3 linked regions of the Stegostoma tigrinum genome follow. The protein of the gene in region 1 purifies or fractionates together with the protein of each later gene. This does not show direct contact. Links are inferred from orthologs where the notes say so. Each region holds a gene or a part of one and is shown in the gene's direction. Other genes may lie near its edges. The genes, in order: galectin-2-like, fibronectin-like and itga4.

What was found.
Region 2: the proteins of galectin-2-like (region 1) and fibronectin-like purify together in Homo sapiens (affinity purification with mass spectrometry; 3 studies listed by BioGRID and IntAct, with this or other methods). This does not show direct contact. The link is inferred for Stegostoma tigrinum from reciprocal best matches to the Homo sapiens genes LGALS1 and FN1.
Region 3: the proteins of galectin-2-like (region 1) and itga4 purify together in Homo sapiens (affinity purification with mass spectrometry; 3 studies listed by BioGRID and IntAct, with this or other methods). This does not show direct contact. The link is inferred for Stegostoma tigrinum from reciprocal best matches to the Homo sapiens genes LGALS1 and ITGA4.

The regions. Positions count from the first base shown.
Region 1 is NC_081391.1:12,805,426-12,813,437, reverse strand, and holds the start of galectin-2-like, read left to right. Parts: upstream 1-4,797; 5' UTR 4,798-4,910; coding exon 4,911-4,916; intron 4,917-8,012. UniProt on the Homo sapiens protein: Lectin that binds beta-galactoside and a wide array of complex carbohydrates. Plays a role in regulating apoptosis, cell proliferation and cell differentiation. Inhibits CD45 protein phosphatase activity and therefore the dephosphorylation of Lyn kinase.
Region 2 is NC_081360.1:11,863,968-11,872,569, reverse strand, and holds the start of fibronectin-like, read left to right. Parts: upstream 1-5,072; 5' UTR 5,073-5,297; coding exon 5,298-5,412; intron 5,413-8,524; coding exon 8,525-8,602. UniProt on the Homo sapiens protein: Fibronectins bind cell surfaces and various compounds including collagen, fibrin, heparin, DNA, and actin. Fibronectins are involved in cell adhesion, cell motility, opsonization, wound healing, and maintenance of cell shape.
Region 3 is NC_081360.1:42,646,916-42,654,479, reverse strand, and holds the start of itga4 (integrin alpha-4), read left to right. Parts: upstream 1-4,448; 5' UTR 4,449-4,555; coding exon 4,556-4,743; intron 4,744-5,113; coding exon 5,114-5,232; intron 5,233-7,564. UniProt on the Homo sapiens protein: Integrins alpha-4/beta-1 (VLA-4) and alpha-4/beta-7 are receptors for fibronectin. They recognize one or more domains within the alternatively spliced CS-1 and CS-5 regions of fibronectin. They are also receptors for VCAM1.

The DNA.
Region 1 (8,012 bases):
TTGGAGGTTGTGAGAGGTGTTAAGTAAATGCAAGATACTCCCTTTTTTTAACAAAAAATTTCAAACTGCAATTAACAGAGAGCCGGGCATTAACAGTTCTGCAGAAGGGTCACCAGACCCGAAACATTAACTCTGTTTTCTCCTCCACAGATGCTGCCAGACCTGCTGAGCTTTTCCCGCAACTTCGTTTTTGTTCCTGATTTACAACATCAGCAGTTCTTTTGGTTTTTATTAAGAGTTAGGGATTTCCCCCTGGAGAGGGGTTATGTGATACCTATCAATATACTTGAGGCCTTTCCTGACTAATGGGCAATTCGGGTCCTCCTCCCACAATCAGTTTTGAATTTCGAGTTTAATTTGTGGAGTTGATTTTGTTCCTGTGTTCCTTTAAGAGACTGTTCCATAATAATTTTGTCTTACCTGGTTTCAGTTCTTATTTGGTTATTCAAAAGAATACAACAACATGACCGGGCTGAGAGTATAAGGTAATGGATTTGGAATCCATTGGGGTGATCCAGTGCAGGTTTGATTTCTGCTGACTATGCTTCTCATTGTTCTAACTTTAAACAAGTGCCTACAAACTTATAATCGCAGAAATGTTAAAGAAAGTCCTTCTAAGTAAGGGACTGTTCATTAGTTAATTAATCGTTTTTACTTTTCTCAAGAGAGTATAATGGAAAAATGATCTGTAGCTCAACAAGTAACACTCTTGCCATACATCGTAAGGTTCCAGCTTTTGAGGTTTGAGCATTGAAGTGAAAGCTGACAATCCAGTGTGAGACTGAGGGTGTGCCAAATGGTCAATGTCCTGTCCCGGCCCCATCTGCCTGTCCTGGTCAATGAAGAAGATCTCATAAAAATATAGGAAATAGGAGCAAGAATAGGCCAGTTGGACCCTTGAGCCTTAACTTCAACCAGCTCATGTCTGATCATCTACTCCAACGTAAATTTCCTGCACTATCTCCATATCCCTTGATAATTTAATATCTAAAATTTATCCAACTTTGTCTTGTCATTACTCAATATCTAAGCCTCAACACCTTTTAGAGAGCAGAATTCCAAAGATTCACAACCCTGAGTGAAGAAATTTGTCTTCTTCTCATTGTGAGATTGTGACCCAATTCTATATACGTCCTCCACTCCAGCTGGGCGAACATGCTTCCTGCATCTATCCTGACATGTCCTGTAGGTGTATGGTGCGTTTCAATGCGATCAACTCACAAACTTCAAAACTTTAGAGTGTACAGACCCAGTTTCCTCAATTTCTCCTCACAGGACAATTTTACCATCCCAGGAATCAGTCTGGTTAACCTTTGTTGTATTCTCTCTTCTGCTCCCATGTCTTATTGTCTAAGAAACACAGATGCAGTCTCCTCAATCTCTTCTGATAAAACAATCCCAGGAATTAATCTGGTGAATCTCCATTGCATTCCTTCTGCACCCCTCTTTTAATAAGGACACCTAAACTATCCATCCACACCCTGATGTATTGCAGCATTCCCCTAATAATTGTCAGAAACACATTCAATCTTACGTAATCACAATTTACAATCCACTACACCTCGATAGTAAGAACCCCATGTGATCTGATATACCAGAAGTTCATGTCTGATAAACCAGATGCCTCTTTAATATTCTTTGGTTGATGTGGGGTAAAGAAAGTGACCATATAGGATTCTGTTTCTCCCTCAGTTAACCCATTGTAGAACAAGAATTGTCATCAAGGAACTGATTCGTCTCACAAGAAGCTTTATTTATGGATAGCTTACAGAAGTTGCATTTCTCTAAATTAGACAAACATAATAAGCACACAGGTTACACAGAACAAAAAAGCCAAATTGACGATGCAAGTCATTCACTTTGACTGGAACAGACTCAAAGAGGTTGGGTGAAGTCTTTGCTGCCTGAATGTTTATGTTTGGGTCCTTGTGCTGTATAATAGTAACATTTTTCTACATTGGGTAGTGAGTGTTACTCCCAGCTCAAGTATACAAAAGCCAGAGGCTGAGAAATATAGAAAAAAATAGGATTGGAGATAGATTTTTATTTAGTAATGGGTTTTGGAGAGAGGGCTGGAAAGTGGATTTGAGACTGAGATGAGATCAACCATGACTGTATTAAATGGAGCAGGCTCAAGAGACTGCATTGCCTACTCTTGGTCTGGTTCTTTGCTTAATGAACCATTCAGCCCTTCAAACCTGCTCTGCTAATCCATTCCATACATGGACCATCTTTAGCCTTTTCTAAAAGGGGGAATTGACACTAATAGGTCCATATGATCAGAACTAAGATTGCCCAAACTAATTTTACACAGCACCTTTGAGGCCAGCGGCAAGGGAAGACTTCATCTGAGAAATCTAGACTAAATTTGATTCTGTGGCTCTGGAAAGGAAAGCACAGGGTTGAACCATGTCTTCATCCATGAGGTTTGATATAGTTATAGAATCCCTACAGTGTGGAAACAGGCCCTTTGGCTAAACAAGTCCACACCGAACCTCAGAGCATGCCACCTCAACCCATCCCCCTATAACCCACCTAATCTACACCTCCCTGGAGACTATGGGCAACTTAGCATGGCCAGTCCACCTACCCTGCACATCTTTGGACTGTGGGAGTAAACCAGAGCACCTGGAGGAAACCCACACAGACATGGGGAGAAGGTGCAAACTACACACAGACAGTTGCCCAAGGCTGGAATCAAACCCAGGCCCTTGGCGCTGTGAGGCAGCAGTGCTAACCGCTGTGCTACTGTGCTGATCATTTCGTGGAGGCTGTCACTAGATCTGATCTTTTACAATTAGACACCTGACAGAAATGCATGTTTCCAACATTTACTACATTTTCAAATTTCCAGCACTCATGGGTTACTCTTTTTTTTGTGTGTGGGGGCTGGTGTGGTGTTGCGGACATTTGGGCCAAATAGCCTATATGTGCTCTTACGTTTTTATGTTCTTATGAAAAGAAAAATCAGCTAGTGTCTTCCCACTGGTGGCCACACCTTCAGCTGTTAGGGCTTAACCTCGAGAATTTGCTCCTTAAAACATCTCTTGTTGCCTTCCTTAAAAACAATCCCTTGGACTAACTTGTCTTAGTGTTTCATTGTTATTCATTGAAGGGATGTGAACAGCACCAGCATGCCAGGTATTTGTTGTGAATCCCTAACTGCCCTCAAAATACACATGCAGTCGATGTGGTGTCAGAACAGGCTTCCTGTAATAGATTGATGAAACAGAGACTAAACAGGCCTTTGCAGAAGGCACTTAAATGTCCTTGAGGCTCTTGATGTTACAGGTAGGTCTGGCCAGCTAATGTCAACAGATATCCCCCCTTGAAAGACATCAAAAGTGAACCGGAGGGAGTTTTTTTTTGCAAAAATCTACTTCATTCATGGTTACCACAATTTTGAAATTTACTTCAATTCTGAATTTATTTCATTAAATCTAAATTTCATCAGTGCAGTGAGATTTGAACTCACTTCTGGAACTCAGGCCCCTGGATCACTCCTGTGAATCTCTTTTTGATGTTTCAATGATATTCGAGGTCTGCATTTGAACAGGTATTAAGGAGATAATAGCGCAGAGAGGAATACTACAAAATTATTAATTAATAGTTCAATATTAAGCCAGTCCCTACTGACAATCAACAAAGGGCCCACAGACTAAATTCTGGTATTGTTGTTTATACATGGTTCAGCATAAACTAAGTTTTAATGAGGTTTAAGCTTTCCCGTCAGTGTTTCAATTCTTTCTTCACCAGTAAAGGAGAACAGGAATTTGTATAGCACCATTTATCTTCAGCACATCCGAATGCACCTTATAGTCAATGATGTACTTTTGTTTTGCTTAAGGGATATGGGCAGTAAATGGCAAAGCCATCATTTATTGCCCATCCCTAATGGGCTTCGATCTAAGCTTGCTAAGCTATTTGAGTCAACCACATTGCTGTGTGTCCAGAGTTACATATGGGCCAGACCAAGGATGATGTCAGATCTCCTCCCCCAGAGGACATCAGTGAACCAATTGATTTTTATAACAGAAAAACCAAAAGAATTGCAGATGCTGGAAAAGCTCAGCAGGTCTGGCAGCATCTGTGAAGGAAAAATCAAAGCTAAAATTTTGGGTCTGGCAACCCTTCCTCAGAACCTATGGTAGCTGGCAAAATGTTAGTCGAGAATCAGAAAATAGGAAGGCTGGTGGGGTAGGGAGTGAACAGTAGGATAAAGGATAGTGTCCAGAGATGGAGAGAAGAGCAATTGGATAGTCAATGGAGTTGATAACAAGACAACAAGGTGTAGAGCTGGATGAACAGAGCAGGCCAAGCAGCATCAGAGGAGCAGGACGGCTGACATTTTGGGCCCAAAACATCAGCCTTCCTGCTCCTCTGATGCTGCTTGGCCTGCTCTGTTCATCCAGCTCTACACCTTGTTATCTCAGATTCTCCAGCATCTGCAGTTTCTACTATCTCGGAGTTGATGATGATCTGGCTCAGAGGGTGAATAGCTGTTAATGGGGACTGTTAGTGACATACAGTCACTCTCCCATGTCCTCGCCCCCTACCCTACACACCAGGCCTTGTTGTTACAGCCTGCCATTACACACTATTTAACAGTCACTAAAACCAAAAACGTCAACTTTCCTGCTCCTTTGATGCTGCCTGGCCTGCTGTGTTCCTCCAGTTCCACACTGTGTTATCTCTTGTAAATGTATTACTGTTATAAATCATTTACAAGTGGGCTTAAAACTGATACGCAACTTGATCAATGATTAACATGCTTTACCTCATATATATATATATATATATATATATATATATACACACACATATGCGCACAGTTCTGCTCTCATTTCTCTCTTCACAAGACTGTGACCACTTCCCTTGCATACTCAAACTTCCTCTTTATACACACGAAGATGTCGGTGAGTAGAGTATATGGACTATAAAGTTGTTTATCCTTTTGTATTTGTGTTTAACCAGGTAAAGGGACCAAGGCCCTTTTCAGTAAGGTACTGCCAAATTCTGAAAAAGTTTAAAGGGACTGTACTCAAGTAAAGGTCATGTCTCACTTGAAATGCCATAAATTCTAATAACTCGCTGATTTCATTACTTGGAAGTGCTGTTTCATTTATAATTTGACTCTCCTGGGATGCAGAACTAATGTCAGCTACATTAATTCATACAAGCAAGACCATAATTTTTTGCAGGAGTACAAACGTAATGTAAGGAGGATAAAATTAGGTGACAATATGGGAAGTCTGAGTGCCAATAAGATTGAGGCATTTAAATGGATTCAAGCTACTTGAAGAGTTGCATCTAATTCTTGGCACTGCTCTTTCGGAAGAGGTGAAAGTTTTGCAAAGGACACACTGTCTCTGGAAAAGATTTATTTGGATTGAGGGATTACAATGACACGGACAAAATGAAGAAGCTGGCTTGGTTTCTTGGAACAGAGAAGGAAAAGAGGAAAATGTATTCAAGTGCTTAAAATCACATTGAACAAAATTGACTGTTACTGGAGAAGCAGAAAAGGTTTGAAGGATATGGGGAAAGAGAGGAAAAGTAGAACTCATCTGTACGCTGCTTGAAATTGCTAGCACAGGCTTGATGGGATAAGTGACCTCCTCTGTGTTGTACTATTTTATGATTCGACAAGTTTGGTATGGAAAATTTATTTCTTCCATCTGGGTCATTCAATAGTGAGGTGACTAATCTTAAAATTTGAATTTTTCCTCCTCTGAGTTAAATTGGGCACTTTTCCACATCAAGGTGTGTGGAATCTTTCAAAAAGACTGTGATTGTTGAGGGGGATAATTGAAGTTTCAAGCCTGAGAATAGCCATGCCCTTGTTGGTCAAGGAAATCAAGAGTCATGGAACTGCAAGATCAGATGAGGTGCAGATCAGCTGTAATTCAGAATACAGGATGCTTAAAAGTCAGAGATATCAATATAAAGCGATTTCATTCTTGCTGTTAAGATTTTGTTACTTGTCTTTCCGGGAAGAAACAACTTGTTCTACACTTTCCCCAGAGCCATGTCGTTTCGGTGTCTTAATTACTTTGCACCTCGGGCAGAGGACTAATTTTCTCTCTCCCTTTTAATTCTTAATTTATACCCATTTTAAATCTTTCTTTTTTCCATTATTAACACCCTTTTGTTGTTTGCACTGGGTCCTGATTCCATCTGCCTTCTTGTTCCCCCTCTGAATCTGTCAAAAGTATAAAAACATTTTTTTCAACACCTTTCAGTTCTGAAGAGTCATACTGGACTCAAAACTTTAACTGTTTCTCTCCCCCCACAGATGCTGCCAGACTTGCTGAGTTTCTCCAGAATTTTTGAAGTTTGTTTCAGATTTCCAGCATCCCCAGTATTTTGCCTTTATTCAAGTGTTTATTGGATCAACTCTCATGGGTTGCGGTATTGACTGTTCTTAGTTCCACTGTCTAATCTCCATCATTAGTAGCCATGCCTTCAGCTGCTGGGCCCTAAGTTCTTGAATTATCTCCTTAAACATCTCTGCCTCTTTATCGCAATTTCTTCCTTTAAGACATTCCTCAAAACCTACCTTTGACCCCCAAGCTTGAATGATCTCCTTATGCAGCTCAATGCCAAAAGTTTGTTTCAGAATGTTCCTGCGATGTGCTGTACATTCCCTCTCATGTTAACAACATAGTATAATGAAAAGTCATTGTTTTTATTCCCACTGCTCTCACCCAACACTTTTGAGGATAATTGTTGGCCGTTTTCTATCAATTGATTCTACACTGGGGTCGTAAAATAGCCTGCAGTGCATCGAGCAGTGCACATACCATAAGACCATAAGACATAGGAATGGAAGTAAGGCCATTTGGCCCATCAGGTCCACTCCGCCATTTAAATCATGGCTGATAGGCATTTCAACTCCACTTCCCTGCACTCTCTCTGTAGCCCTTGATTCCTTCTGAGATCAAGAATTTGTCGATCTCTGCCTTGAAGGCATCCAATGTCCCGGCCTCCACTGCACTCTGCGGCAATGAATTCCACAAGCCCACCACTCTCTGACTGAAGAAGTGTTGTCTCATTTCAGTTCTAAATTTATCCCCTCTAATTTTAAGGCTGTGCCCACGGGCCTAGTCTCCCCGCCTAACAGAAACAACTTCCTAGCGTCCATCCCTTCTAAGCCATACATTATCTTGTAAGTTTCTATTAGATCTCCCCTCAACCTTCTAAACTCTAATGAGTACAATCCCAGGATCCTTAGCCGTTCACCATACATTAAACCTACCACTCCAGGGATCATCCGTGTGAATCTCCGCTGGACACACTCCAGGGCCAGTATGTCCTTCCTGAGGTGTGGGGCCCAAAATTGGACACAGTATTCTAAATGGGGCCTAACTAGAGCTTTATAAAGTCTCAGAAGCACATCGCTGCTTTTATATTCCAACCCTCTTGATATAAGTGACAACATTACATTCGCTTTCTTAATCACGGACGCTACCTGCAAGTTAACCTTGAGAGAATCCTGGACCAACACTCCTAGATCCCTTTTTACTTCTGCTTTGCGAATTTTCTCACCATTTAGAAAATAGTCCATGCCTGTATTCTTTCTTCCAAAGTGCAAAACCTCACATTTACTCACATTGAATATCATCAGCCATTTCCTGGACCACTCTCCTAAACTGTCTAAATCTTTCTGCAGCTTCCCCACCTCCTCAGTTCCACCTATCTTCGTATCATCGGCAAACTTCACCAGAATGCCCCCAGTCTCTTCATCCAAATCATTAATATACAAGGTGAACAGCTGTGGCCCCAACGCTGAACACTGCGGGACACCACTCGTCACAGGTTGCATTCTGAAAAAGAGCCTTTTATCCCAACTCTCTGCCTTCTGTCAGACAGCCAATCCTCAGTCCAAGCCAGTAGCTCACCTCGAACACCATGGGCCCTCACCTTGCTCAGCAGCCTCCCGTGAGGCACCGTATCAAAGGCCTTTTGGACGTCTAGATAGATAACATCTACTGGGTTTCCCTGGTCTAACA
Region 2 (8,602 bases), on another chromosome or scaffold:
ACTCCTCCATTTTCCTGCCAAAGTGCATAACCTCACATTTTCCAACATTATATACCATCTGCCAAGTATTTGGCGCCTCACTTAATCTGTCCATGTTCCTCTGTAGACTCTTTGTGTCATTTCCCACTTTCCTTGTCACTCATTTTTGTCTCATCCGCAAACCTGGCATCAGTACAATCCCTTCCATCATTAACATTATATGTAAATAATTGTGGCCCCAGCACCGATCCCTGGGGCACTCCACCAATTATGGGTTACCCCCCTAAAAATGACCTCTTTATTGCAACTCTGTCTTCTATTAGTTAGCGGATCCTCTATCCATGCCAATATACTGCCTCCAACTCCACGGTTCCTTACCTCATGAAGTTAACTTAAATGTAGTACTTTACCGAACAACTTTTGGAAATCTAAATATTTTACATCCACTGCTTTCCTTTATCCATCCTGCTTTGAGTAACAGATTCTGATGATTTTGCAGGCGTGACTTCCCCTTCATGAAGTCACGCTAACTCTGCTGTGCATTTCTAAATGCGGTGCCTTTGCATTCTTTATGATGGGTTCTAATACATTTTTTCCTCAGACCAGAAACGTTAAGCTAAATGGCCTATCGCTGACAGAAACCAAAATAACTGTGGAAGTTGTAAATCAGAAACAAAAACTGAAATTGCTGGAAAAGCTCAGCAGATCTGGCAGCATCTGTGAAGAGGAATCACAGTTAACGCTTCGGGACGAGTGACCCTTCCTCAGAACAGCCCTCTAATTGCCTGCTTATTTGTCTCCTACCTTTTTGAGTAAGGGTGTTACGTTGGCTGTTTTCCAGTCTTTCAGTATTTTTCCACAATCTAACAATTTTTCAAACATTACTCCCTGTGAAAAGGACAAACTCTGTAGACTTCTGAAGACGGGTCTAGACCCGAAACATCAGCTTTCCTGCTCCTCTGATGCTGCTTGGCTTGCTGTGTTCATCCAGCTCCACACCTTGTTATCTCACCGTCTCTGCAGTTACCTTCTTTGACATCCAGCACGTATCCCATCAGAATCAAGAGACTTATTGCCTTTGGGCCCATAAGATTCCCCAGTACATTTTTCCTCCAGTGATAGTCATTTAATCCACAATCTCCACCCACTTCCCCAGTTCCTTCATTATTTAGCATTTTTTGGAATGCTATTAGTGTCATCCACCATCCCCATGTTATAAGGAGGATCTTGAGGCACTAGAGAAAATGCAAACAAGTGCTTCTAGAACTGCTGTGGGGTGGCACGTTGGTTCAGTGGTTAGCATTGCTGCCTCACAGCGCCAGGGACCCGGGTTTGGTCCCAGCCTCGGGCAACTGTCTGTGTGGCGTTTGCACATTCTCCCCGTTTCTGCGCGAGTTTCCTTTGGGTGCTCCGTTTTCCTCCCGCAGTCACAAAGATCTGCAGGTTAGGTGGATTGGCCATGCTAAATTGCCCCATAGTGTCCAGGGATGTGCAGGCAAGGCGGATTAGTAATGGGAAATGCAGGGTTACAGTGGTAGGGCTGGGTCTGGGAGGCACGCACTCCAGAGGGTTGGTGTGGACTCGATGGGCCAAACAGCCTGATTCTAACCAACAAGCCATATGCCTCAGGGAAGGTTTCGAGGCTGGAGCTGGTCTCCTGTAGAGGAGGGGTGGCCTGTCTGTGAATAGGAATGATATGGGAAAGACATTGTCCTTTGTGGTAAGTTTAAATATAGGGCTCACAAATATGAGTCATTAATTAGACAGTGATTCATTCAGAGAACATGGGAACCATGGCCATAGGGACTGGCTGAGGTGAACAGCATTTTTGGGGTACACTGATGTATTTTGAAGCAGTTGTTACGATACACCTCTGGAACAGGCAGGATCTGAAACAAAAACAGAAATTGCTGGAAAAGCTGAGGTCTGGCCGCACCTGCAGAGGGAAATCAGAGTTAACATTTAGGTTGAGTGATCTTTCCTTGGGATCTGAACCTGGGTCCCCTAGTCCTGAGGAAGGGACACCATTACTGTGCCAAAGTAGAGCACACATCACATTTAGGAAGAGAGACAGAAGACTTAGAATCGTGGCGTCATTGAGTCATACAGCACGGAAACAGACCCTTCGGCCCAACAAATCCACGCTGACCACAATCCCAAACTAAACTAGTCCCACCTGTCTGCTCTGGCCCACTTTCCTCCAAACCTTTCCTATTCACGTTCTAATCCAAATGCCTTTTAAACATTGTAACCGTGCCCACATCCACCACTTCCTCAGGAAGTTCATTCCACACGCGAACCACCCTCTGTGTAAAAAAATTGCCCCTCAAAAGTCTTTTTTAAATCTCTCTCCTGTCACCTTAAAAATGTGGCCCCTAATCCTGAAATCCCCCATCCTAGGGAAAACACAACTACCATTGACTCTCCCTGTGTCCCTCATTGCTTTATAAACGTTCATAAGGTCGCCTCTCAACCCCCTATGCTCCAGTGAGAGGGAGATTTTATAGAATGTTAAAAGAACAGCTGCGGTTGAATGGTGTCTAAGCACTAGGTGCCGGCCTCTGCACTTTTTGGCGATGTAGCAGTGTGGTTTGGTAGTCTGTCTTTGAGCGAAATACCGATGGTGCTGAGTTATGGTCATATTACTGAGGAGAGTGCGAGATTAAAACAGGGTTAACCTGGGCTTCCAAGGGTCCGGTTGCCCTCTCTGAGTGACTCAGCGACCGATTAAAGCATGCCTTTGCTAAGTTATGTTAAAATGGGTGTTAAGAGAGACGGGATGAGTTTCTTGTCACGAAATGCACATTGATAAGCACGGATCCCCTTTTGTTCCGGGGTTGGGGTGGTGACTGTGGATAGTTAGTTTTGCAGAGAATGGTGTCTTGTGGGCCGGAGGGCAGCCTCACTGAATATGTCCAAGCCCGACAGGGAATCACCACTCAATATACTTCGGCAATCCGTCTTGTCCCCGGCTTAATGGTTAAACAAGGCGGCGTCCCCCTTCTTATCTGGAGTTCCTGGCCGACATACTGAAGCACTGACGCTTCGTCCTTCAAACATGAATCATACACTTAACACAAAATCAGAAGCTCTGCTCCCCGAGGCATTTTACTTAATTTGAAGTGCAGGAACCTTACATTGTTTTTGGACGTCCCTTCCCAAATTCAAACGTAGAATAATAATGAAATTCGACAGAGCCTCACTTAAAGAGGCGTTTGATTTTAAGGGTTTGGTTTACTTTTTTTCTTAGCAGCTCTTGCCGTCTCAACTTTTTTTTCAAAAAATTATTTCCCCCGAGTCTCTCTCAGCCTTCACATTAGGAGCAACCCCGAACTCTTCCACAGATGCTGGCCAAACCTGCTGAGTTTCTCCAGCAAGGTTTTGTTTCAGATTCTCCAGCGTGCTCAGTCCTTTTGTGACTGTTGTGGCATCGTCCTATCATTGGTAACACACTGATTTTTGTCTTTAAGGAAAAAGGTACACTTTGCACATTCAGTTCGTAGGAAATCTCACTGAAATCGATTTAACTCTTTGTTCCTCCCTGCACAGACCTAGTGAGTACCCCGGCAGTTTCCGGTTTCATTACAGATACCCCAAACATGCTGCTGTAAATTTGCACCTTTCGGGAGGATGCGAGTACTTTACAAACAATGGAACACTTTCGAGGTGGAAATTTGTAACATTTCATTTTCTACCAGGTTGCGCCTGGGTCAGTGCAGAGTTTAGAGCGGGTGAGAGACCCAGTGTAAGAGGGAGCATTGTGAGAAGACAAGTCTTGGAACGGCAAGAAAAAAGAATGCAGGAAATAGGGAAGGCTACAAGGGAAACCGACATGTTTCAAATTGGGATGACCTTTAAGGGTCAGGTCATCAATCTTATACATTGACTGTATCTCTCCACAGATGCTGCCTGACCTTCTGCGTTCTGCTTCGCAATTTTTTGTTTGCTTTTTCCTACATCGTCCCTGGTATTTCACCTTTGTTTTCGAAAAAAAACAAAAAAAATTCTCCCGCGTTGTGCGCATCGAAAGCAACTGCAAAAGCGACGTTTCTAACGCCCACGTTTTAAATAAAATAAACACTGCAAACGCTCGGAGAACGAGTTCAAAGATGCAATGTCTGGCTCACACTTCCTAGGAGCGAGTGTTTATTGCACATACGCGGCGGGAAGGTTGTCATTCGGTTATGATTGAATACCAAGTCTGTCTCATTTTATGTCTGTATACCCCCTCCCCCCAACCTCCTTTGTCTCCGAATCCCCACCTCCACCTTTTTTTACAGAAGACCAAGTTCATGTAAAATTCACACAAGGGTTTTTTTTAAAAATCAGCTTAGCAAGTCATATTTGGACAAATCTGTACCTCGTTTTTGGATTCAGTGAAGACAATGTTTGCAGATCTCGTGGAGGATTTGTGTGTGTGTGTGTGTGTGTGTGTGTCGGGGGATGGGGGGAGGGCGGATGACTTTAGAGATGTTTAGGTATTAACTCAAACATCCCTTCGTCTTGTTGAGGACTTAATTCGCCGCCTCGATCACCCATTGACATTCAGACTCTCACTTCGCCTCAGATTTGCTGCCCCTCCAGCTGGTAAAAGGAGCCTAGATTAGGTGTACCTTTCTTTCCAAAATAAACAAATTAAAAGACTTCCAATCCTTCCCAGCAGTGATTTGTCAAGTTACAGTTCAGTAAAATCACTCACAAGTAAACAGCTCGCAAGACAGAAGCTGAGCTCAGTTTAATCATGTGTTTTCCTTTGTTGCAAATGTACAGAGTATTTCAGTCTCAATTTCCCGTTTTTAAAGACGAGCGGTGACTCACTTTACAGAAAGACTACCGTGCCTTATGAGGGATGTCTGTTGTCTCATGCAGGCTGCCTCAGGGATGCAATGCCCCTTTAAGAGAGATGCCTGGTGTCTGATAAGTGTCTGAACTGGCTGTTTTTCACCCAAAGTCCTCAGTGATGTCAGAGGCAGACTTGTAAATATTATTGATGTAGCTTAAGTGAGACCCCTCCCCTTCCACAAACTTCCAAAGGTCCACCCATCCTGTCCGGGGGCTGTACAACGTTATAAAGAGGGCTGCAGAAGCAGGCACTCGCTCGCTCACTCACTGGCCAAAGGTGTGCTGAGAGGTTCTGTCTCCCTTTGGTCTGGTTTCTTCTGTCCTTGTCCCTTCCCTCCCCCCCCCACCCCCACGCCAAATTCTTTCTGGACCAGTCCCTCCACCCCCTCTCCTTTTCAACACGGTGGGGTAATTGTCAGGCATCTGGCTGTCTTCGGCGAGCTGTGAAAGGGCGAGGGGGAGCTGGTGCCTGGAAGATGCACCTCCCCATGCTCGGGGTCTTGTTCCTGGCCGTTTGTCTGAGTGCAGCCAGCGGTCAAGCAGGCAAAAAGAGAAGGCAAAGTCCGTACGATGCAAATACCCAGAATCAGAGTAAGTCTTCCAGAGGAAGAGAATCTTGTTGAAACTTTTAACATGCATTTTTCCCCTTACAGAATGTGTTCAAACTCTTTCTAGACCTGTGCTTTAGAACGTTCTGCCGGCACGTTGCTTCTGGTTCTGTCCTTTAATGACTAAATGATGTCCAGATGCTGATTCCGAGACTTAAACCAGGGGTGCATCGAGTTTTGCCGATGGAGCGAATGCAAATTTCGTGATCTCGTCGATAGTTTGGCCGTGTGGTTTATCAAAATAGCCTTCGAAAGAGCTAGTACAGGCAGTAGGGGCGGAATGTCTCCTGTGGTTCAATACTGTGTGTACATGAGGGCATATAATACATTCTGACCCCTTTCTGCCCTTTCTCTCTTTACGCCAACCACATTTTGAAGTTTCCATTGCAGATTTTAAGAACAAGGGCATGAAACGACCTTTCTCCCTCTCTCCACAGATGCCTCCTAACTACTGGGTGGTTCCACTATGCTTTCTCCTGCATCTGAGGCGTGTTGTGTTTTTTTAAAATGCTGCATCTTTCCAAAATTTGGGGTGTGAGGAAGAAAGACAAATGGTTTCTTTGTAATCTTCACCCCGCTAATCTGGGGAAGATGTGATTTTAAAAAAATACATTGTGTGAACCTTTTGATGCAAACATCCAAGGGGTCAGAATGCTGACTATTTAGTGGCTGTTCAGCAACAGAGGCCATCACATCCTGTCCCACTGCACTCACTGAAGGAGGGGAGTTCCGGGGTGGGGGAGGGGAACAGGATTAGGGAGTTTAGAAACCACTCCTATATGTTTCCTAAATTGGGGTGATTGTAGTTTATATCACTTTTTGCTTGAGGAGACTCCACAGGTTAAAACCAGCATCCATCCCGAGCTGCTTTTACATTAGAGTTTAATGTGTAAGCTGAGAATGTACCGAAGAATTCACCTACAGACCCATTCAGATGGGTGGATGGTCTGGTGGGATTTTTGTTGTGGGTTAGTTAGAAAGAGCTTTACCAGCTATTTTGAAGTTGTAGTTTAACTTAAGTAATTCCGAACGAGGTACAACCGCTTGGCTAGAAACCTGGAAGGGGTTCCTTGGAATTGTTGAATATTTAAGGCATAGAAAGAGACCATTTGATGCTTCGTGTCTAGATTGACACTTCATGAGAATGTCATTTAAATATGCCACTCTTGCCCCCTTTACCCTGTATTCTCTCACCTGCCTTCAGATAATGAGGTGGCTCAGTGGTTGGCGCTGCTGCCTCACAAAACCAGTGTGTTGGGTTCAGTTCTCACCCTTATGTGACTGTGTAGAGTTTACACATTTTCTCTGTGTCTGTGTAGGTTTCATCAGGGTGCTGTGGCTTCCTCCCACAGTCCAAAGATGTCCGAGTCAGGGGGAATGGCCTTGGGACATTGTCCAGGGCTGGACAGGCTAGGCAGATTAGCCATGGGAAATTCGGGTTTACAGAAATGGGATGGATCTGGGTGCGGTGCTCTTTTGAGGATTGGTGTGGACTTATTGGGCCAAATGGCCAGTCTCCACACAGTAGGGGATTCTGTGATAATGATCTAATGACCCACTTGAAAACCACAATTGAATCTGTCCCCAGTGCATTCTCAGGGGGAGCATTCCAGATCCTATTCACTTGCTGTGTGAAGGAAATTTCCCTTGCGCCGCCGTTGCTCCTTTTGCCATCCATCTAAAATCCGTGTCCTCTGATTCTCGATCTTTCAAACAGTCCCTGTCTGCTCGGTCCATATCCCTTGGGATTTTGAACACCTCGAACAGATCTTCCCTTAGCCTGCTCCAAGACTCCCAAGATGTTTGATCTCAGTGTCTCCATGTAACTGAAAGACTCTTTTTCTTTGAAACCATTTTTGTGAATCTTTTGCATTCTCTCTCATGCCTACGTGCTCATCAGGTCTGTCGGTATTTGTGAGGGGAAATAATATGATTTAACTCTAACACATTTTCCTTAAAATCAAACTGATTTTACAGTCTGGTTCTTTGATGGTTGCATCCTTTATAAGGAAAGAGTGCGAGTTGAAGCTGCATGTCAAGGTCCTGTTTGACGTGGGACTGAACGATGTAATCCTAATGGAAACTGGAAGATGCTTATTTATCAGAGCTGATGAGCTTATGCAAAAGCACAGCAGTCGAAGATACTGAAAATCTGAAGTAAAAGCAGATGATAGGAAAGGAATGGCTCCCATGGAGAGAGAAACAAGAGTTCGGGGTGAACTCCCCACAGCCATTGAGCCTCGTAATCTCAAGCCAGTGAAAATCATAATTCAGCTTGTGAGTGGCTGCATTTGGCAAGCAGTTGAGTTTTACTGGGATAGTAGGAACTGCCAATGCTGGAGAATCTGAGATAGCAAGGTGTAGAGCTGGATGAACGCCAGCAGGCCAAGCAGCATCAGAGGAGTAGGAAAGCTGATGTTTTGGGTCGAGATCCTTCTTCATAAAATTTTGCATGAGAGGAACAGGAAGGCTGGTGTTTTGGGTCGAGACCCTTCACGTCAGTTTTCCTGCTGCATGGCCTGCTGTGTTCATCCAGCTCTACACCTTGTTATCTGAGTTATACTGGGCCACTTTCTTGGGGTCGCTTTACTGCCTGCACTTTCTCGGCGCCTTTCTTGCTCTCAGAAGGTGAGTAAGTGCTCAGCAGGAGATCCGAGGGCCAAGAGGTGCATCTGCTGGGTTTACTTTGTGGAGACAAACAGGGCGATGCCACATCCTGTAAAATTAAGCTGCGTCATGCCAGTGAATGGGCTTGTGACTAATGTAATTGCCCCTGGGTCCTGAGTATTTCTTTGTTGGGAAAATGCAGCCTGTTATTTAAGAGTTAATGACCCTTCCCCAGAATTGATGACGAGCCTCTGAAATACCTATGATTAACTCTTGCTCTCTCTCTCTCTCTCCCCCTCCCCCTCCCCCCTCCCTTTCTCTCCCCCTCTCTCCCTCTCAAGATGACTTAGTGTTCCATGAGTTGAGGGTTCAGATTTGAGACATCTTTCCATCCACAGATGCTGAGTGATATTAGTCTTGCAATGCATCTAGTCTTTTGGGAACTATTTAATTGATGTGTGTGTGCTTTCTCTGTCTCTCCTGTTCAGATTATTGTTTAGACAATGGAAAGGTTTACCATGTTAACCAGCAATGGGAGCGTACATACATGGGCCGTGTGATGATCT
Region 3 (7,564 bases), on another chromosome or scaffold:
TGATGAGTTCTAGATTAAAACAGGTCACAAGAAATTTATACCTTCAATCTGTGTCCATGTCTGGGTTTGGGTTTGTACTGGTATCATGAGCGATGTTTGAAGGGAATACCTCTTGACTCCCAGTAGCCATCCCTGAATAGGCCAAGGATTTGTGAAGAAACAGAAAATAGGAGCACCAGTAGGCCGTTCAGCCCTTCAACCCTTCAGTACAGTCATGGCTGATAATCTAACTCAATACCCTGTTCCTGCTTCCTCTCCATATCCTTTGACCCCTTTCAAACTAAAAACTATATCTAACTGTTTCTTGGAAGCATGCAATGTTTTGGACTCAACACTTTCAGTGCCAGAGAATTCCACAGGTTCACCACTCTCTAGGAGAAGAAATATCTCCTCATCTCAATCCCAACTGGTCTACCCCATATCCCTAGACTGTGACCCTTGATTCCAGACTCCCGGTCATTGGGAAGATGGTTCCTATATTTAACCTGTCGAGACTTGTTAGAAACATACAGGTTGCTGTGAGTTCCCTCCTCATTCTTCTAAACTCCAGTAGATATAATCCTAACTGATCTCTTCCTTCATACATCAATCCTACCATCCCAGGAATCAGTCTGATACACTCCCTCCATAGCCAGGACATATTTCCACAGATAGAGACCAAAGCTGCACAACAGTGACATCCCTGCTCCTGTAACCAAATCCTCTTGCTATGAAAGAGGGTGGCTACTTTGTTCAATTGATACAGACATGATGGGCTACATAGCTTCTTTCTGTTTGATAACATTTCTCTCTCCAATCCCATGCACTTTAATTTTATGTGTACATGGAAGAGAAAGGAACCTGTGAGCCCTCTCTTATATAAGCGTCGCACAGTTCCCGGGGTATCTCGTGCAGACCTCTGAGAAGTGGCTCAGTTGGTCACAATTCCTTAAGTGAAAAGAATTGTTTCTTGTTCACAAATACCCCAAAATGGTGATAGGACAGTCAAAACTACCTGGGTGCAATTGATGGTAGCTTTTACCCAGGGGAAGCCAGAAATGCTGGAACATGCCCGTGCTGTAGCAATTTCTCTATCATCATCAAGGGGAAGAATATGAAGAAGTAGGCTCTGGTAAAAGTGGCATCAGTAACAAGATTTACATACACTTGGAAAGGCAAGGACTATTCAGGCATGGCCAAGACGGTTTTGTGCATGGGAAATTGTGTCTCACTAATCTGATTGAGTGTTTTTGAAGAGGTAGCAAAGGAGATTGATGAAGGCAGAATGGTAAATTTTGACTCTACAGACTTCAGCTGATGCTTCATGAAATGAATCGCTAACAAACAAATCAAAGGGAAGCTGTGAATTTAGTGGTCTCCAGGATGGGAGGTTGCCATTCAGCCCTTGTGAGTGCAAGTCCACCTCCAGTTTCTTCTGAGTAACAGCCAGGTCACCAGGAAGACAGGCAAGGTCTTGGACATTTCAGCTCCATCAGCAGATAAGCTGTGGGGAAAGTCAGAAAGATGACACAGTGTTATTGAAGGAACATGTTTAAGCACTCATGTCCTTAAAAATCCAGCTGAATGCTATGCCCTCACATAGTGTGGCATGGAAGCCTGAGTAAGATGTTCCAAGGTCTGTGACCTTATCCAACTGAATGATGGGCAACCAAGGAGTGTCTCTGCTCCAGTGGGAATAGACTTCTGCCAGTAAAACACCCCATGAAGGGTACCTACCTTGCCACCAAACAATGTTATTTCCATAACCCAGGCCATTTCTTGCATACTTTATATTTGGAGAGGGCAAACAAAGAAAGGGAATACACAATGATTGAGAGGGTATTGAGAGGAGTGGAGGAATGAGAGAATTAGGAGTGCATTTTCATTGGCCCCTGAAGGTGACAGATCAGATTGGTCACGGGATGAAGAGAACGCATGGGACACTATTCCTCAGTAGGTGAGATATTGAATACAAAAGCAGTGATGCACTGCAAGAATTTAATAAGAAACTGAGTAGGACACAGCTATAGTTTTGTGTACCATTCTGGTACCACATTACAGGAAGGAGAGAGTACAGATCAGATTTACAAGATGGTCCCAGGGCATGAGAATTGCAGGTATGAGGAAAGATTGGATCGGCTAGAGTTGTTTTCCTTATAACGGAAAAGGTTACCTTCATTGATGTGAACAAAATATTGAGGTATGAGGACAGAGTGGACAGGGAAGACCTGTTCCTTCTAACAGAGAGGCCAATTGCAAGGAGGCATGGATTTAAGACGATTAGTCAAAGAATTAGACGGGACGTGAAGACAAACATTTTCACCAAGCGGGTGGTATTTGTCTAGAACTCACAGCCTAGTTTGGTGGTTGATGCAGATCTCCCCAAATATTTGAAAGGAACCTGGATCTGTGTCTGAAACCTTGTGAACCTACCAGGCTGCAGAGCAGACATTGAAAAGTGGGATGAGAATAAGTGGCTGGTTTATTCAATTGTGCAGCATGGTGGACCCGAATGGGTCCTTTCTGTGCTATAACTTCTCTGTGGTTCAGTGGTTAATTTTGAGGGTTGGGGAATTAATGAGCTATAAATACAAGGAAATTAGCTTGTTGCCATCTGAGGGAGAGACTATGAACCCGTGATCAAAGGCTTAATATTGTCATTGGGAATCTGAATATATGACTTGCGCTCAATTAAATGCTTGCACTAGCTACTCATCCCACCTCACCATGGCTGGAAAAATTTTGTTCACTGACTCTCAAGGTTAATCAGGCACGAGTTGCCTTCAATAATTCCAAACTGGTTTACCATCCCTCCAGGATTAGCTTGGAATCTCCAAGAATTGAGGATCAATCTTCAGCTTTCTGCTGCTTGCAACACTGGAGAAAAGTCACAGGGACATCACAAAAAAAACTTTGAAAACCAAAAAACCAAATCACCCACAATCTCACTGGCATCCAAATCCAGAAGATTATCAGATGCCCTTACTGCCACCTCTAGCAAGATGCCACCACCAGATACATATTCCCCTCCCCTCCCTTGTCTGCCTTCCGCAGGGACCGTTCCCTCAGGGGCACCCTGGTCCACGCTTCCTTCACCCCCAACACCTCCCCACAGCCCTACGGCACCTTCCCCTGTAACCAGCGAAGGTGCTACACCTGCCCATTTACCTCCGCCCTCCCCAGTATCCAAGAGCCCAAACATACCTTTCAACACTTCTCCTGCACTTCCAAGAATCTGGTTTACTGCATTTGCCGCTCACAATGTGGTCTCCTCTATATTGGGGAAACGAAACAGAGACTTGGCAGCCACTTTGCAGAACATCTATCTTCTATTTGCAAAACAGACCCTGAACTACCTGTTGCCTGTCACTTCAATGCGCCACCCTGCTCCCTGGTCAACATCTCTATCCCTGGCTTGCTACAATGTTCCAGTGAAGCCCAACGCAAGCTGGAGGAACAACACCTCATTGTCTGCTTGGGGACCCTACAGGCCTCCAGACTCAATACTGAGTTCAATAATTTTAGGGCCTAAGCTCTCCCATGTCCCAGCCCCCAACCCCACCCACCAGGCCTTGTTACCACATAACCTGCCATTACACACCCCCTGTTGTTAGTCACTAACAGTCCCCATTAACAACTATTCACCCTCCCAGCCTGATTGTTAACAACTCCTTGGTCTGTCCAACTGTCTTTCTCTCTCTTTGGGCTCTATCCTATCGTTTACTCCCTACCCTACTCACCTCCCTATTTTCTGCATATAAACTGACGTTTTCCCAGCCACCATCAGTTCTGAGGAAGGGTCACTGGACCTGAAACGGTAACTCTGTTTTCTCCTCCACAGATGCTGCCAGACCTGCTGAGCTTTTCCAGCAGCTTTGTTTTTGTTCCTGTAATTTTCTTGGTTTGCCAGTTATAAAAATATTGAAAATCAGTGGGGGTTGGGGGAAATGTATTGTTTTATTCGCAGTCAAGCATGACCCTAATGGGTAAGCTCCTTTCCTTTCCAATATGCTTAGGTAGCTAGTGTGTCATAAGCGTGAATGTTTTGGGCAATTAACAATTGGAGCATGGGCTCAAGGCATGTGAGGAAATCCCCAGGAAAATATTTAATCACTGTTGGCAACCGTAGATTCGCTTGTGGCTTTTCAAATGTGATTATTTTTCTCGGTATATTCCTCACCACAATCCATCAGGTTGTACACCATATTCCCAAGGTACTCCTACATTGAATGTTTTGAAATTTAAAAAAGTAATTAATATGAAAGGGTAAATGCGATTTTGACAACTGTTGTCATCTGAAGATAGATCTGCTTTAGCGCCTGAAACAGTTGGATATGAGTGTAGTTGACCAGCTCACCCTGCTCTTGACTCTGGCCCAGGAGGTCAACAGCGCCCCCCACCGCAGAAATTTGGCACTGCCCGCAGGGGTTTGAACCCGAGTCCCAGCTATCAGCGGATGGGCGGTGCTTAGTAGTTTAGTGCAGATGTTGCGTTCAGGTTTCGGAGTAAGATTCAAGTTAGGGAATAGAACTCCCGCATGTTTTAGTCTCGCAGTGCAACTCAAACTGAAAAGAAAATGCGACGGCAAAGGTTTGCGTGGGGGTTTGACTGGTGTGGTTTCTGGATGCTCTTGCTTCTGTGCTGTGAATTCCGGACGGTGACACCTTACAACCTCGATACGGAAAACCCTGTCCTAGTTAAAGGACCTTCAGGGACACTGTTTGGATATTCGGTACTATTACACAGCTACAAAGACGAAAAGTGGTAAGTTTTCGTTCAGTTTAGTTTTAATCGAAGCAGGTCATATCGCATTCTTCTAATTTAATTTGCACGTGGCAAGCTTAAAAAAAAGCACAACACTAAACTTCTTTAAAACAGTGCCAACGGCATTATTTTTGGAAATTATCTACTGAAATCAATAAAATTTTGGTGATTAAGACCGTGTTTCGAATGGTTAAAATGGGGTTGGTTTCTTTCAGGTATATCCCAGAAATAAATGACAAAGGGATGCGTTTTATGTGTCAGAAGTTTTGAAACTACTCAGTGATTTTTGCCATTGTCACACGCAGAGACTGTTCTAGCCAATGTTTTCTTTTAATGTGGTTCTAAATTATTATTCCTTTTGCTACCACAGGTTTGTTGTTGGTGCTCCGAAAGCAAATGCATCCTTTGGTGGTACAGTAAACCCCGGAATTATTTACAAATGCCGAATCGACCGCAATGCGAATCAAACTTGCGAAGAACTGCATTTAGGTTAGTTGCAAAGACAGCATTATTCAGTTTCTGTATGAATTGTAAAAGTAAAAGGAAAAGCTCACAGTTTTTTGATGTCAGCCACTGGATATGTTGAAGAAAAAGTTCTGTCTTCTTGAAAGCCCAAGAATTCTGTAGCAGCAAACCTTTTGTGCAGCAGTGATGTTGTCGCTACTTCTTGAAAATATCTACAACTGATCCCTCCCAAATCTGACCTGACCCATCTTACCCAACCAACTTCCCCAATCCATCTAAACCATCTCAGCTTTCCTCCCCTCCTGAATCATCTCTACTTAATTGCCTGCATTTGCCATAACCTGTCTCACTACCCCCGCAATCACCAAACCAAAAGAAAATAGTCTTTACACCAGCTCAATGTTTCCTGCTCATAGGAGGTCTTAGATTGGTAAACCTTCTCTGAACTGATCCCATTTACATTTACATTCTTCCTTCACTGAAGAGGCCAATACCGTACATTGTATCCACATGCGATCTCATGAGTGCTCCTGTACAACTGAAACACAATCTTTCTAATCCATTGCCCTCACAAGAAACAAGAACATACTGTAAGCTTTACAAATTATGTACTATACTTGCATGTTACCCTTTTTCAGTTAACACACTGGGACCTGCAGATCATTTTGCATCTCCAAGCTCTATCATCTCTCACTAATCTCAACAGTGTTGTGTAGAGCACCGGTGTTCTGTCTCCATCCCCACTAAATTATTATTTATTTCCACAATTCATGCTTTTTGTTGGCTTTGATAGGGTACATTGCAGAGTGGTGAGGATCAGTTTCTTATTGAGATTCTGAATGATTGATCTGATTTGAATAGAACTTTCTTTCTGAATTTATTGATCCCTCCAATGACCCTGCAGTATTCTGGCTACGTATTTTAGCCAGGTAAAGGTGCACCAATATATGAAGTTTTTTTAATCTAATAAAGGGTCTAGGCCCGAAAAATCAGCTTTTCTGCTCCTAGGATGCTGCTTAGCCTGCTGTGTTCATCCAGCTCCACCCTTTGTTATCTCGGATTCTCCAGCATCTGCAGTTCCCATTATCAACAATATTAAGTACTTTGTTTGTGCAGTGGAGGTTGAAGACAATAGTGTAGGAACCTAAAGTTAGTTTGAGGTGAAGCATTTGGATTGAATTTTCAATTACAAAAACAAAAGGTAATGGAGATAATAATGGTACTTGAGAGTGAACAAACTGCTTCTAATGATGATGGTTCCTACCAAGAGTATTTAATTGTTGTGCAAATGGCAGATGTCCTAGTCATACATTTTCCAATATAGATGCATTGTACTTTTGGATTGTAAAATTTTATACAGTGAGCAAAAACAGGCAATTACAGAATTTCCATTTTAACTCTCTTTTGGTCAAAACTGGATCTCTACAATCAAAGATATTGACTAAGTACTTGGACGAGTAGAATCTGGTCATGGAGAATCATATGGATTCATGAAGGATTACACTTGTTGGCCAATATACTTTGAATTTCTTAAAGCTGTTATGAGCAAAGTGGATAAGAGGAAAATCCATCGATGTTAACCTGATGGGCTTCCAGAAAGTTACTGACCCCCTGACTCCCCAGGTGTCTGTCCCTGAGCTACAGGACACAAGTCCCAAGGTGTAATTACATACTATCCACCCGCTTGGATAAGCGTATATGAAAGAACAAAAAACAATAGTACAGGAACTGGCCCTTTGGCCCACTAAGCCTGCGCTGACACATGATGCCTTTGTAAACTAAAAAGCTTTTTGCCTCCACAATGTCCGTATCCCCTCTATTTCCTGCCTATTCATGTATCTGTCAAAATGCATCTTAAACATTGTTGTGTCTGCTTCTACTACTTTCTCTGGTAGTGCATTCCAGGCACTCACCACTCTCGGTGTTCAAAAAGACTTATCTCTCACATCTCTTTTTAAACTTTCCTCCTGTTACCTTTAAACTTTTGCCCCCTAGTAATTGACATTTCTACCCTGGGAAAAAGACTTTGACTATCCATGCTTCACATAATTTTGTAAATTCTTAACATGTCACCCCCCTCATCCTTTGTTCAGGTAAAAACAAGCCAAGTTTATCCAGTCCCTCCCAAAAGCTAATACCCTCCAAACAAGACATGATTCTGGTAAACCTTTTTGTAGCCTTTCCAAAGCCTCCACATCCTCCTAGTACTGCGGAGATCAAAACTGTACACAATATTCCAAATGTGTCCTATCTAAAAACTTATGTAGACCTGCAACTTGCCATTTTTTATACTCTATGCTCAGACCAACAAAGGTAAGCATGTGCCCATTTTGGCCACCAAAATCTCTTGTGTTGC